Struthio camelus: one gene and its partner. The protein of the gene in region 1 purifies or fractionates together with the protein of each later gene. This does not show direct contact. Links are inferred from orthologs where the notes say so. Each region holds a gene or a part of one and is shown on either strand. Other genes may lie near its edges.

Evidence for each region.
Region 2: the proteins of NDUFAF3 (region 1) and NDUFA13 purify together in Homo sapiens (co-immunoprecipitation; 3 studies listed by BioGRID and IntAct, with this or other methods). This does not show direct contact. The link is inferred for Struthio camelus from reciprocal best matches to the Homo sapiens genes NDUFAF3 and NDUFA13.

What each region holds. Positions count from the first base shown.
Region 1 is NC_090955.1:10,148,591-10,156,236, forward strand, and holds the start of NDUFAF3 (NADH dehydrogenase [ubiquinone] 1 alpha subcomplex assembly factor 3), read right to left. Parts: upstream 2,993-7,646; coding exon 2,820-2,992; intron 1-2,819. Other genes in the region: DALRD3 (DALR anticodon-binding domain-containing protein 3), read left to right, coding at 2,991-3,161, 3,440-3,723, 3,805-4,091, 4,307-4,365, 4,466-4,588, 5,004-5,074, 5,561-5,619, 5,934-6,016 and 5 more. UniProt on the Homo sapiens protein: Essential factor for the assembly of mitochondrial NADH:ubiquinone oxidoreductase complex (complex I).
Region 2 is NC_090967.1:6,475,511-6,482,102, reverse strand, and holds NDUFA13 (NADH dehydrogenase [ubiquinone] 1 alpha subcomplex subunit 13), read right to left. Parts: upstream 2,620-6,592; 5' UTR 2,535-2,619; coding exon 2,441-2,534; intron 2,265-2,440; coding exon 2,186-2,264; intron 2,060-2,185; coding exon 1,988-2,059; intron 1,480-1,987; coding exon 1,410-1,479; intron 760-1,409; coding exon 640-759; 3' UTR 517-639; downstream 1-516. UniProt on the Homo sapiens protein: Accessory subunit of the mitochondrial membrane respiratory chain NADH dehydrogenase (Complex I), that is believed not to be involved in catalysis. Complex I functions in the transfer of electrons from NADH to the respiratory chain.

The DNA.
Region 1 (7,646 bases):
CGGCTCGGCTCTGCTGCCACCCTGCGCCCCACGGTTCGGCTCTGCTCCTGCCCTGCACCCCACGGCACAGCTCTGCTCCTGCCCTGCGCCCCACGGTTCAGCTCTGCTGCTGCCCTGCGCCCCACGGCTCGGCTCTGCTGCCACCCTGCGCCCCACGGTTCGGCTCTGCTCCTGCCCTGCGCCCCACGGCTCGGCTCTGCTGCCACCCTGCGCCCCACGGCTCGGCTCTGCTCCTGCCCTGCGCCCCACGGCTCGGCTCTGCTGCCACCCTGCGCCCCACGGTTTAGCTCTGCTCCTGCCCTGCGCCCCACGGCTCGGCTCTGCTGCCACCCTGCGCCCCACGGTTCGGCTCTGCTCCTGCCCTGCGCCCCACGGCTCGGCTCTGCTGCCACCCTGTGCCCCCGGCACAGCTCCCCCCCCCCCCCCCGGTGGGCCCGCTGCCATCAGCCTGGGGCTGAGCCCCCGTGCTGCGGCTTGCGGCTGTGACTTCCCCTGCGCCGGCACGGCAGGCGCTCGGGTTCCTGTTTCCGTCTCCCCGCTCTGCTCCCGCGCCCGCACCGCTGGCCCGGAGCCCGGCAGCCCCGGCACCGCGGCGGTTATCGGCACGTCTCCCGGCGTCCGTGAGCGGAGCCGTTCCCGTCACCCTGCCGAGGTGGGGAGACGCCGGGCTGCACCCAACCCTTGGACCCCCCAGCGCGAGGTGCCCGCGGCGCCGTTGGGGTCCCCCACCCCGCACCGCCGGCCCGGCACTGGCAGCAGGCCGGTTTCGCTTCCCCCGCGGCGGGTGCCCGAAGGCCTCCCGCCGGGGCAGCCAGGCGGCACGGAGCCAGGAGGCCCCGGGGGCGGCGGGCGCCGCAGGTGCCGGGGCGGGTGCCCTGCTTCGGGGACAGCTCGGGTTTCCGGGGCCGCTCCGACGACGGCGCCAGGTGCTCCGGCCCCACCACCGGCGCGTTGTTTGGCGCCGTTTCCTTTCGGCTCGGCCGCGCCGCCCTCCCCTTTGGCTCCTGACCCGCGGCGACGGCGGGGGGGCTGCAGCACAACCCCTTGGCCCCCCCCGCCCCCCAGCCCGGCGGTAAGTCGCCCTGTGTGGCGGGGCGGCGGGGCAGCCCCCGGCCCGGCCCGGCCCCGGCGCCCGCGCGGGCAACGGAATCCCAAAAGCAGCTGTCCCCGCTGCGCCCAGCTGCCCTGGGATTTCGTTACCCGCGCCGCCGCCCCCGCCTCGGCCCCGCCGCCCCCGCCGCCCCGGCCCCTCTGCCCCCAGCGGCTGCGAGCTGGGAAAAAGGGGCGTCCGGCCCCCCCACCCCACCCCGGCCATGCCGGGGGCTCTCCGACAGGCCTGCCCCCCCCCCAACCTCGTGCCTCCCCGCCGGCTAAAGATAGCAGCTCGTTTCCTGGGGAGAAACCGCCGGAGCGAGCGTGCCGAGCGGCTGCCGGCCGCAGCGTGGATGTGGCCGCCGAGGGCCGGCGCGAGTCACGAGATGCTGCGCCGGCTTCCTGCCGCCGCCGCCGCCACCGCGCGGGGCTCTACCCCGGCCCGCGGTTTCTCCCCCCCAACACCCAGCGCCGGTGGGGCGGGAGGCGGCGTAGGGCAGGGCGAGCGGCACCCCGGTGGGATCCGGTCCCCCGAGAGACAGAGACGGCTTTGGAATGACACGATCACTCCCGCTGAGCGGGCAGCCGGAGAGCCATCGGGAATGTCGTGTCTGTCCAAAGCTTTTTCGGCGCCTCCGTGAGCCTCGCGTCGGGCACGCGGCCCGGCCCCCCCCCCGCCACCCCGGCTTTCGCAGGGCTGCTGCCGCGCCGCAGCAGGGAGCCGCGCGGGGACGGTGCCGCCGTGGGCCGGGACCCCCCAGCCCTGCAGGGCCGGGGACGGAGCCAGCCGACCCCCCCGCAGCGGCTCTGCCGGCGCAGCGGCCCGAGACGAGGTCCGAGCGCTTTCTCAGGCCGCGTCGGGGTGTGCCGCGCCGGACAGAGGCCCCGGGCGGCTCCTGCCCCGCAGACAGTCAGCAGTTGGTCTGGTGTGAGCAGCAAGTCTCAGATCACCTCTTGGCTGTGGGCGGCGCAGAGAGCACCCCCACCTCGGCCCGACCCCCGGAGACCCCGGAGCCGCGAGCGCGGGGGTGGCAGGAGGGAAGGGGCCCCCGCCAGCACGCGCCACGTAAACGCGGGCTGTGAAACGCCGCCGCGGAGGAACCGGGCTGTGCGGCGGGCAGCGAGACCGCCAAGGCGCGGCCTCCCATCCTTTCCGTCCACCTCCTTCCCCTCGGGGCTGATGAGCCGGCGGGGACGGCCCTTCCCCGAGCCCGGCGGGCAGCGTCACCCAGGCGGGACGGGCCGCTGCGTGGCCGAAGCCCCCGTCCTGCCCGCGGCCAGGCCGAGCGGCTCCCCTCGGAGGAGCCCCGGCCCCCGAGGCCGGTCCGCCGGCCGCTCAATAAAGCCCGTTTCCTGCCCGGCCCTCGCAGCCGCTCGTGTTTTTTTCCACGGCGCGGTTCAGCCCTCTTTCGGTTCCGCTCCCCGCCGCCCCCAGCGGGCTCGGCTCTGAGAGGCCGGGAGGGGAAGGAGCAGCCGCTGGGGCAGCGTTTCGGGGCAGGTTGAACTGCTGCCTGGGGAAGGTGCGTCCCTCCTGCTCCCAAACGCCCTGGCCAGGAGGGCCGGGCCTGGCGGGCGAGCGGCCGCCGGGGGCCGTGCAGGCCCCACCGGCTGCGCCACCGCTCTCCCGGGGGCTCGGTCACTGCGACCCGCCACACCCAGCATGGCCTCGCCGTGCTGCCCGCCACGCCCAGCATGGCGCCCCCCCCCCCCCCCGCCGCCACCGTTACCCCCAAGATGGCCGCCCGGCCCCGTCCAACCCACCCGCGCCCAAGATGGCCGCGCAGGCACGCTGCGCGCCGCGCCCAACATGGCGGCCGCCTTCCCGCCAGGCCCCGCCCGAGAAGGGGGGTGTGACGTCACGCCCCGGGGTCGACGGAAGCGGCCGGCGAGGGGAGCGCATGGAGGCGGGCGAGGGGAGGCCGGCGGTGGCGGCGACGCTGCGGGCCCTGAACGGCGCGCTGGGGCGGCCGGCCGCGCTCTGGCGGAAGGAGAGCGGCGCCCACCGCCTGCGGCACCGCGACTTCCTGGCGCCGCAGGCCGCGCTGCGGGCCGCGTTCGGCGGGGGGCAGGTAGGCCGCGGGGGCGGGGCCGGCCCGGGCGGCGGGGGCGGGGCCAGGCAGCGAGGGCGGGGCCGGCGCGCCGCAGACGAGGCCTACCTGGGCGGGGGTGGGGCCTGCTAGGCGGCAGGGGCGGGGCCAGGCATCGGGGGCGGGGCCGGCGCGCCGGAGACGAAGCCTGCCTGGGCGGGGGGCGGGGCCTGCCTGGGCGGGGGCGGGGCCAGAGAGGCAGGGGGAGGGGCCTTACCCAGCGGTTTCTCTCTGCCTTCATCCCCCCGTGTCTCTGGCAGGTGCCTGCTGACGTCATGGCGCGCGTGACGTCACTGTCGGGCCCGGAAGTGCTGCCGCTGAGTGGGTGCCAGGAGACAGTGGAGGGGCTGGCGGTGCAGGTGCGGCGGCCGGAGGCCTTCCGGCGGCTGCTGGGCCCCGGCCCTGCGCCGGCCCCACCGCCGGCCTCCCCGGCGCGCGTGGTGCTGCACTGCCCGGGCCTGCGCGGCCCCGCCGCCCTGCCGCCCCGCCGCCTCCGCCCCGTGCTGCTCGCCGACCACCTGGCCGAGGTGCTGCGCGCCCAGGGGTGAGTGCCGCCACCCCCCCCGCCGGCCCCACCGCCGCCGCCCCGCGGCCTCACCGCCACCTCCCTCCCTCTCCGTCGCAGGGCCAGCGTGCGCCTGGTGCCCGCCCTGGGCGACGAGCCGAGCCGGGAGGTGCTGCGGCAGCTCCGCGTCGCTTGGCCCTGCGGCCGCCCCGACCCCGGCGGCCCCGAGGCCATCGCCGCCCTGAAGCGGGCCCTGGCGCGGTCGCCCTACGTCGCGGCCGGCGAGCGGGGGGCCGGCGGCGCCGCTGCTGCCCTGCCCGAGGACGTCGTGGCTGAAGTGGACCTGCGGAGCTTCGTGGAGCAGCAGCACCTGGAGGGCTACGACCCCAACCTGGACGTCCTCCGGGGTGAGCGCCGTGGGCCGCTAGTGTGGCAGCACGGGGCGTGAAGGGCGGCACGGGAGTCCGTTTCTTTTTTTTAATTACCTTAACAAGAATAAGGAGCGTTTAGATGTAGACTGCCTTTCCTCGTTGTTCCCCTTCCACCTGCCGGGCTGGGGCAGGACGGAGCAGGGGTGCCGCGCGCCCTCGCTTCCCTCCCTGACTGTCCTTCCTCCTTTCAGTGACGGAGGAGAAGCTGCGGTGCCTGGCGGAGCTGCAGCAGGCCGTCCTGCAGTGCGCGGTGAGTAACCCCGCCGCCGCGCTGCCTGGCTCTCGCTTCCCGCCGGCGTTCCCTTCTGTCCCGCGCCGGCGTCCGAGCTCGCTGCTGTGCTCTGCTGCAGGCCGGCGGCCAGGCAGGCTGCTGCCACGTGGTGCACGTGCTGAGCTGCGAGGAGGAATTCCAGCAGCAGCAGATGGATCTGCTCTGGAGGATTTTGGATCCGGGAGCCCACACAGCTCTGCAGGTGAGGAACTTTCTGCCTTCTTCATCGTGGCCCCCAGTGTCCTCGGGCTGAGCCAGCTCTCCTGCCGTCCCTGCAGTGAATCCGAGGTCCAGCCTCGCCTCCTCGGGAGCCTTCCCTTCAGCCCTGCTGGCCCCTCCGCAGTCTTGCCCAGGCTGCGGAGCCCTTGGGACCTTAGTGCTGAAGAAGGAAGGGCAGGAGGGGATTGCAGGGGTGCAGGCAGAACCGGGCTGTTGACTGAACGCACCAGTGCACTTCAGCAGCTCCTGACTCTGTGTTCCCCTTTTCCTGTTTCCATAGCTGTGAGCAGAGGTTTCCCTGGCTGCTCTCCAGGTTCAATTCTTCTGGCACTGCATTTTAGTGCTGATACAGCTTCTAAGTCCTTGAGCCTAAGCCTGCTGTCTCATTTCTTTTTCAGAAACACCTTGTCTGTGGACCAGTGAAGATAGCAAAGCCCTCATCCCCCATTGGGGCAGACCAGTACTTCCAGTAAGTTGGTATTTAGCAAGGAGCTGGCTGTGTCACCCACCGACCAGGCTGCCTGGGCTCTGCTTTGGCCCTGCGGACACCCAGGAAGCTCTCTGAACAGATGAGCGTGCCGGAGGTTTAAGGAAGTTTCTGTGTGGTCCCAGCAGCCTTCCTCCGTTCCGCTTTTCTGCGGCTTCGTGGCTGTCTCTAGAGGCCTGGAGATCCACGGCAGGGGCAGGAGAGGGAAGACAACTGTTTTGCCCTCCTCGCTCTTAGTAGGCTCCTCTAGTTGGGCTGCCTCTGGCCCTGTTGGCACTGACTGCCGGGGGCTGTAGCTCTCCCCCTCCCCAGCAGCGCTGCTGGGAGGAAAGGCCGGGGCAGGAGCTAGGCCCCGTGCGGTGTGACCAGCCCCAGCAGCCCGAAGGCTGGGGGAGCCCTCGGGCCCTCTCTGGAGCAGGCTCGCCCTGGGGAGGCGGTGGTGGCTCTAACTGTCTGTGTTCCTCCCAGGCTCCGAAAGCGCCAGATGTACGAAGCCTCTGTGATGAAGTATGGGGAACTCGCACAAGGTGAGGGTTTGCTCCACACGTAGATGCTGCTTCCGCACTGCTCCCATAAGTCTCCCCCACCCACCCACCCACCCACCTCAGGGTCTCGTGGCTGCAGCCAGGAGGTCTCTCCCCTGGGAAGGAGCGGGGTTCTGACCTTGCTTGGGAGGAAGGTGTCTGAACCGTTGCACAGAAGGTCCCCTTCTCTCTGCTGCGAGAAGGGGCTAGGGAAGCGTGTTGGTTCCCAGCCCGCACTGGGGGGTTTCTGCCTGAGGGTGGCAGGTACGCGGGGCTGGAGCAAGCCGTGCTGTGGCCCCATTTGTGTTTTTTTGCAGACGAGGCCTGGACTGAGGTTATCGATGTCCTGACAGCGGCTGCCATCAGGTTTGAGATGCTGAGCACTGCCCACCGTAGTCAGGTAGGACAGGCCAGAGCTGCAACGGTCTGTGCAGAGCCGGGGGGCCTGTGAGCAGTGGGACATACCGCTCTTTGGGAGCTACAGCTCATGGCACAGGCTGAGGTCGGGCAGAAGCAGAGGGACAAGTAGCGACGGGGAGAGGGGAGGCGCTCTGTGGGCTCTGGCTGCCCTGGATTTGGGGCAGAGGGCTTTCCCATGGGCTGAAGCAAGCAGGTGCAGGCTGGTGTTCCTGCACCAGCAGCCAGCCCCGGTAGCCTGCACCCATCTGCCCAGGACGGGCCCAGGCTCAGCACACTGGTGGTCACGCTCTGCCTGCTGGGGAAGGCTCCGCTCCCCCAGCGAGAGGTGCAGGGACGTGCCAGGACCGGCTGTGTGCCGAGCAGCCTGGACCGCAGCCTCTCTCTTCCCTCAGATCGTTCTGGACCTGGAGGACAGCAGCATCTCCACAAAGGGAACCAAGAGCGGCGCCTTCGTGATGTACAACTGTGCCCGGCTGGCCACGCTCTTCGACACCTACCAGCGGGCTGTGGAGCGGGGTGAGCCCTAGCCCACCGGGCCCTCTCCCTAAGCAGCGACTCTGGGGCTGTTCCTCACGGCTGCGTGGGGATGGGGTTGTTCCTGGAGCCCCACAACCGCCTCAGCAGCGACTCTGCCAGAGGCAGGAGGCTGATGGCCTGACGGGGCTCCAGTGCAGCAGTCCCCTGGGCTGTCCCTGCAGCAGGGAGACCCCAGGGCTCCCAGCACCGGGGCTGCTATGCGCACAGCAGCCATCTCTCGCCTCCTTCCCAGGCACATACCCACCCTTGCCGCCAGCATCAGAACTGAACTTCTCCTGCCTCCGGGAAGAGGTGAGTGCTGAGGGACGGAGGCTGCAGGGAGCTGTGTGCCCTCAGCTCCGGAGGATCGGAGGATCGATGCTTCTGGCCCAGGGGGATCCGGCCCTCTCGGACACACCGAACCCTTTCACAGGGCGAATGGCTCCTGCTCTTCAACTATCTCCTGCCCTTCCCCGAAGTCTTGCAGCAGGCAGCACAGCTGCCCTCACCCAGCAAGGGGATCCGGATCACAGCCAGCGCAGAGACGGTAAGTACCACGTGCCGGAGCACCCATGGGTGCTGCTCTCACAGCCCCAGCCTGGGGCAAGGCTGCACCCTGAAGGGTGCTGCCCGCCGGTATGCAACACCGGGACAGTGCTGAGGGGCTTCCCTGGGACGAGACTGTGACACTGCGAGTGCTGTTTGGTGTGGGGGAGACGACCCAAGAGCAGACCCTGCAGTGCCGACACTAGCTCTCCGTGTTGCAGGTGTGCAAATTCCTGATCCAGCTCAGCATGGATTTCAGCTCCTACTACAACCGTGTCCACATCCTGGGGGTGAGTCAAATAGCCCAGGTGACTTGCTGAAGGGGGGGCAGCGCTGCAGCCCTCCCAGGGGGCTACACTAGCCCAGGCTGCGGAGGCCTTCCCGTGGGGCTGGGCTGCCACGAGCAGGCTTCTGCGTGCCAGCAGCAAGATAAGAGGCTGGGGCAGGGCTCTGAGGCCACGTCAGCAGGGTGAAGAGGCAGCGATGCCTCTGGGGCTAAGGGGGACTGTGGCCACCAGCCCCCACATTGCTGCCTTTCTCCCCGCAGG
Region 2 (6,592 bases), on another chromosome or scaffold:
GCAGTTTGAAACCTCCGTTTTTAACCCCACTCTCACCTTTGAAGCTTCTCCTACAGCACCGGTGACAGCAGCAGGGCCGTGAAGGCTCTCAGCGCCCTTGCCTTGCCCTCACCGCCTGGCTGCCCTGCTCCCCAAAGCAGGCTGCAGCACCAAGGGACAAGGCCCCGCACGTGCCTCGGGCGGCAGAGCCGTGAGCCAGGGACGGGCAGGGCTGGGAGAGCCGAGCTCCGGGCAGGCGCCCAAAAGCACTAGGGTGCTTTCAGCACACGGAGCTTGGCCCAGCTCAGCCCCGAGCCAGCTGCCAACAGCAAGGGCCACAGTGAAGCGAGCGCCTGCCCCTCGCAGAGGGACGGGCACCAAGGCCCTGCAAGCCTGCTCCATACCAGGACCTCTCCCTGCCCCAGACACGTGCTTGGGACAGCACAAACAGGGAAGAGAGTAGCAAGCGCTCCCCAAGAGCGCTGACGCTTCTCCCAGAGGGACACGGAGAGAGCTTCTTCGGGAACATGCAAGACATCTCGTATCGGTGTGGTTTTAATAGCAGAAGCTCAAACACACGGTCAACAACAAATGCAGCTGACAGACAGCACCGCATCGGGGGAAACCGAAATCCAGAGCGAGGCAGGGCTCTGCCAAGCTTCAGACATAATACTGCAAGCCGAACTTCTCGTTGTCCATCTCGCTGGCCGGCCGCAGGTAGTAGAGCTCGTCTAACGTCGGGGGGACCCAGCGGTCGGTGTGAAACACGGACTCTCCAACCTGGAGAGCGAGAGAGCCGGTGAACAGGCCGCGCCAACGCGAGTGCTCGGCCTTCGCCAGGGAGAGCCCGCGCTCCGACCGCACGCGGGCGAGCGGCTGTGCCGGTCCACGAGCTCCAGAAACAGCTACCTCCGGGCAAGTTAACTTCCCGGTCAGGTCTACGTTGATGATGTCAAATATGAGCCGCTCCCAAGGGAGCCCTCGCAGGTGTCCAACGGACCCATCAGGGCACAAGGCCACAACAGGAGCCCCAACATCCACGTGCTGCACCCCACAAGCCTTGATTTCTTGTGCAGGCTGCTGAGACCCCCAGCCCCCGCCGTGAGCAGCGGGAAGGCCGTCTCCCCGCGCCTCGCACCCCACGCCGGCACGGCTCAGCTCCACCACTCAGTTTGGCCTCTTTTGCTCTCGTTACCACCTGATAAACCTGGCAGGACACCTGGGTCCTGGGAGATTTCTTCAAGCACAGATGATCTGAGCTTGCAGAGCAAACACAAGACAGACCAAAACCCACCCGAGGGGCCAGTTCCTCGCCCGGTAAGAGACGCTGCTTTGAGGGACAGCGCAGGGCAGATCCCAGCGCTCCTCCATTCACTGCCCCTTTGCTGCCTGCTCTGGCCCCTTTCTTGTGGCGTCTGCGAGTTACAAACCTGCCACCCAGGAACGTCCTTCATGATTTTGGCCTCCTCGTCCAGGTTCTGCCGTAGCAGACGAAGGGTCCTGTAACAGCGGGAAAGGTTGTCCCCCGATCGCGAAACCGCGTGTGCAGCACGCTGTGCGGGGAGTTAAACCTCAACCAAGCCGCAGCCCCCACGTCTATTCTCCAGAGACCACGCGACGGTCCCTGGCTAAGCAAGAAGCCAGCGCTGCTTTCCACCTAGACTGAGAAAGCCACAGAGGGCAAGAGCTGCGCTGGGAGACCGTCAGCAAACCCCGCTCGCTCTCCAGGGCGGACGCCGGGCTTCGCGCAAGCGGCGAACGCAGACCCACGGCGGGTGAACAGCCCACCTGAGGCCGTAGAGACCTGGGGAAGGGCTTGGGACCCCTCCCGCGCCCCCCCCCCACCCGCTCCGGCAGGGCAGCGCAGCCCTCGGGGCCGGCCCCGGCCCCGCTCGTGCTCCGACAGCGGCGGGAGACCCCAGCCCGCCCCCCCCCCTCCATGGGCACCTTGGGGACGACCCAGGGCATCGCCCCGCTGCCAGCCAGCGTCCCCCCCCGTCCCCGGCACCTGCGGTCCGACTCCGCCTGCAGCAGCGGCATCAGGGCGATCCGCGCCTCCAGGTCCTCGATGAGCAGCCGCCTGCAGCAGGATGGGGCCGGGTCAGAGCTGCCGCCTCCCCCATTGCGGTATGGGGGGGGGGGCGAAGCACCCCCGGGGGGGGCCCAGGAGTCCCGGGTTGAGGGGGTGGGGAGGGGTCTGAACCACCTGCGCTCCCGGTTCCACTTGACGATGGTGTAGTAGCCCAGCAGGAGGCTGCCGATGCCCAGCGCGAAGAGGCTGTAACCTGCGGAGAGCGGCGGCTGCAGCAGCGGCGGCGCCGCCCGAGGGGCCCAGGCGTCCGAGGGGCCCAGGCGTCCGAGCCCTCTCCCCCCCCCCCAACCCGAACGCGGCTCCCGAGCCCTTCCCGGCCGGCGGGACCCGACTCCCCAGCGCCCAGGCCGCCCCCTCCGGCCCCGGTACCTGAGAGGCCGCGACGCGGCAGGTGCCGTTTGTAGTCGACGGGCCCGTAGCCGCCCGGCGGCGGCATGTCCTGCTTCACCTTCGGCGCCGCCATCTTGGCGGCCGCCGCGCCGCCCTGCGTCACGTCCGCCGGCGCGCTCACGTGACTACCCCCCCCCACACACACACACACCCGGCCCGCCTTAAAGCGGCAACGCCAGGTGATGGGACCCACCCGCCGGTGCCGCCGCGAGGGGTCGCCGCGAGCCTGGGCGCGGACCCTGCACCCCCCCCCCAACCCCACCGGGCACCGCCGGGACCGGGCACCGATCCTGCACAGAGATCCCCGTGCATGCGTGCCCGGTCCTGGTGCACGCACCGTGCACCCCCAGTACCTGTGCACACCGGGCACCGATCCTGCACACCGCCCGTGCATGCACCGTACTGGTGTGTGTGTCCAGTCCTGGGGCACCCTCCATACAGGTGAATGCACCCTCCCGTGCACCCCCGGCACCAACGCGTGCACCTCACACTCTCCCATGGACTGCCAGTACCAGTGCATGCACCCCGCACCCTCCTGTGCACCCCCAGCACCAACGCAAGCACCCCGCACCCTCCTGTGCACCCCCAGCATCAATGCATGGACCCTGCACCCTCCCATGCACCCCTGGCACCCACGCATGCACCCCACACCCTCCTGTGGACCCCCAGCACCAGTGCATGCACCCGGCACCCTCCCGTGCACCCCCCAGCACCAGCACGCAGATCCTGCACACCACTGCATGCTCCACATCCCCCCCACCCTCCGTACACGCTCTGCACAGGGGCGCCCGGACACCTGGGTCCGCTGCCAGGCCCGGTGCTGCAGGGCAGCGTCGGCGTGGGCAAGAAGCACGTAAGAAAACCCCCAGAGAGGTCGACATGAAAGCGCGCAGAGCAGGGGCTTTCCCGCCTCGCCCCGGCAGGCTCGACGCCTCTGCGGGGCCTGGCCCAGCGCCAGCAGCTGCCAGGGCCTTGGCGGAGGGGCCCGGCGCATCCCAGAGCCCGGGCACTCGGGCCGAGCCGCGTGCCCGAGGGAGGCGAGCGGCGAGCCTGGCACCCACCGGCACACACCTGCAGGCAAGCGGGCACCCGCAGCGCGCTTGCACCGAAGCCGGGGCGCTGCGAGCCCCCAGCCAGTGCTGAGCGCCTGCCCCAGCACTCATTAAAGCAATTACCCGCTCCCCATTCGTTTTTACTCCCCGCCGCTTCCCCAAGCATCCCGCAGCTCACTAAGCCGTTGAACGCGGCAGATCGAGGTCACTGCTGTCTTAGACCCCGATTAGAGCTGTAATCCCTCGGCTCCCTCGCGCCGAGCGCTGCAGATGGCCAAGGCCGCGCGGGCAGACGGCGGAAACGGCACGCGGGAGCGTGGGGACACGGTTGCATTGGCCCTGGGAAAAGCCAGCAGCAAGAGCCGTCCCTGCCGGCAGCAGGTCCCTGCTGTCCCAAGCGCCTCCGATTTGCCCCAAAATGCTGGTGGTGGGGCAGGAGCTCCCCGCGCGGGGTCCTGCGAGCAGCCCCGGGGCACCTGAGCCCTCGCCCGCATCGCCGGGCAGCAGCCAGGGCAGAGCCGCCGGCTGGAGCTCCTCCTGCTCCTTTTGCTGCAGCCTCAGCTCCCTCCGCAGAGCCTGCGCCCGGCTCCCGCCGCGAGCTCCCTCCTTCCCTGGCTGCTAGCGCCGCTGAGCTGCCCTAGCTCGGCAGGGCCCGTGTGAGCCGGGCAGCTCACTCCTCATCTCCCTCTGCTGGCTCGGATTTCGTCGCTGCTGCACATCAGACCCCAGAAGTAACCGTAAAGAGGACAAAGGACGGGCAGAAGCACGGCTGCATGGGATGCACGGGGCGCGCGGCTGGGGCTGGCACCCCGTATCCAGCCTCCTGCGCAGCCCCAGCTCCCTCCCGCCGGGCACCAAACCCCAGCCTCGTCCCTGCTCCCAGCGACGAAACCACGGCCAAGCTGAACTGGTGCCAGCCCTCCGGCAGCACCCAGCAAACGCGGAGGAGCGACTCTCCCTGGAGCAGCCTCCGCGGCAGCAAGGCCCCGGCCCCGGCCACGTTCCCACGCTCCGGCTCCTTTTCTCCCCTTCCTGTGTGGTCCCTTAATAACTTCCAAGGGTGCCGGGTGCTGCCGGATCAGGCTCTGAACATCCCCTCGCGCCGGGACTCTGATGTTTTTTTTTTTCCCCTTTGAGGAAACTCCTGCCCCGGGCAGCCGCGGCATCGGCCTGCTGCTCCGCCGCAATCTCGGACCGATACGGATCTCCCCCTCCCTTTGTTTCCCCCACTCAGGCTGAGCACCAGAGGAGATGCAAAACCGTCACTAGCTCATGATTAAGCTCACAGAGCTCATGAGCTAAGACAGGAAGGTGTGGAGGGGACGAGAGGACAGAGCAGGGCTTTCGAGCTGGTGCGAGGACGCAGCCTAACGGGGACAGCGCCGATAGCGAGACCACGACACGCTCCGGGAAGGGGATTCCTCTTGCACGTCGGCCGTCCCGGGTGCAGTTTGGAGGAGGAAAAAAAACCCGGACAAACAAGAGATGTGTTTCCTGTGCTAGCCAAATCGCAAAACTTGCTGAAAGGCGGTGCCCGACTCTGCAGCAGACGGCAGCGGGAAGGGTCTGAGTTCAGGGTCTTTAACACCGACCTGGAGCTTTTTCTACTGAAAAATTACCCTAACAAAAGCTGGCAGGACTGTCCCCTCACATGCATTCGGGGAGGGACGGTTATTCAGGTTTTCTACATGTAATTAGACCACAGTTTTTTGGGCAGGGACTGACCCTCGCAGGTAGGAGGGTGAACCCCTCCCAAGAGTGGGCAGGAGGGGAAGGGAAAAATAGAGAGATCCGTCAACTCATTTAAAATGAGAAAAAACACACCTTCCTTTCTCAAACCAAAGCCCCCAGTTGCCGGCAGAAAGCAAGGTTTCTGTGTGTTAGAGCATTAACTCTGGCCAGAACTCTACTACAAGTTGAGCTTTTAAAAGGGAGCTAAATGTTGAGCCAGACTCAGCAGCAGGGAGAATCTAGGCCAGGCCTCCGCCGTGTAAATGCACCCCTGGATGTTTCGCACCTCATACAGCACCGTGCTAATTGCCAAAAGGTGCAAGTCTATGCATCGGTTTTTCCTTCCACTTCCCCAGCTTACAGGAGCCCACGAGCCCATCCAAGCACCAGGTGCCCCGCTGCCTCGGCGCGCGGACAGCCAAACCTGCAGGACGCGGCCCGGAGGCCCGCGGAGGTGCTAGCGCAGGCGGCGCTCGCAGGACCAGGACTGCGCCGTCCTCGCAGCCCCTTCCCCACCGAGCGCAGGGCAACTCCGAGCACTGGCTGCCTCGAGCTCAGGTGACAAACACGCTGCCGAACGCCAGGGCTGGGGTTTACAGAAATAACTTCATTTCTGCACTGCAGCAACAATGAGCGTATTCAATGAGGTTCCCATCTACTACCTGAGCCCCTAAGCCGTGATTTACCGTCTTCTAGGCCTACCAAATCTTTTGTTTTTCCCTAGGAACTTTAGAAGTCCTATTGAACAGCCCCATGCAGCCTGAAGCGAGAACGAGCGAGATGTGTTTGCATAGCATGCCGCGTGCTTACCAAACAGACTTCATTAGTTAGCAAAACAGAAGGGTCAAACATAACACTTTTGTATAAATATTTAAGGGTAAGTTGTTACTTTGGATTTATTTTTTCCTACCTTCACTTAAATCCTTCCCGGTGAAAGAGGTCAAGGGAGGGTCTGGGGATGCGGACGGGGCTCGAGCAGCTCCTGGGCCCTTTCGGCGGGGCTCAGCCCCTCCCTCCTCCGAAAGCCTTCAAGGACCAGACTTCAAGGAGTTGCTCTTTTCCCTCCAGGATGATTGCCAGCGGGAAGAACATCTGACAGCAAACGCGTTGAGTGCTTTCCTACTTTTAAGTGCAACTTAAAAGCAAGGCTGTATTACTGCAAAAAGGGAACAGAAAGAAAAGCTGGTTTGCTTTTCAGAAGCAGGAGCTGGCTGCAGTAAGGGCTGCAGATAAGAGTTTGCAAGCTCGGTTAGCTTTACGTCGCCGCGAAAGGAGAGCGGCCGCCTCTTCGTGCACCTTGTCTCTGCCCGGCGGAGTTTACAGCCTGCTCAAAATCTTGGACGGCTTA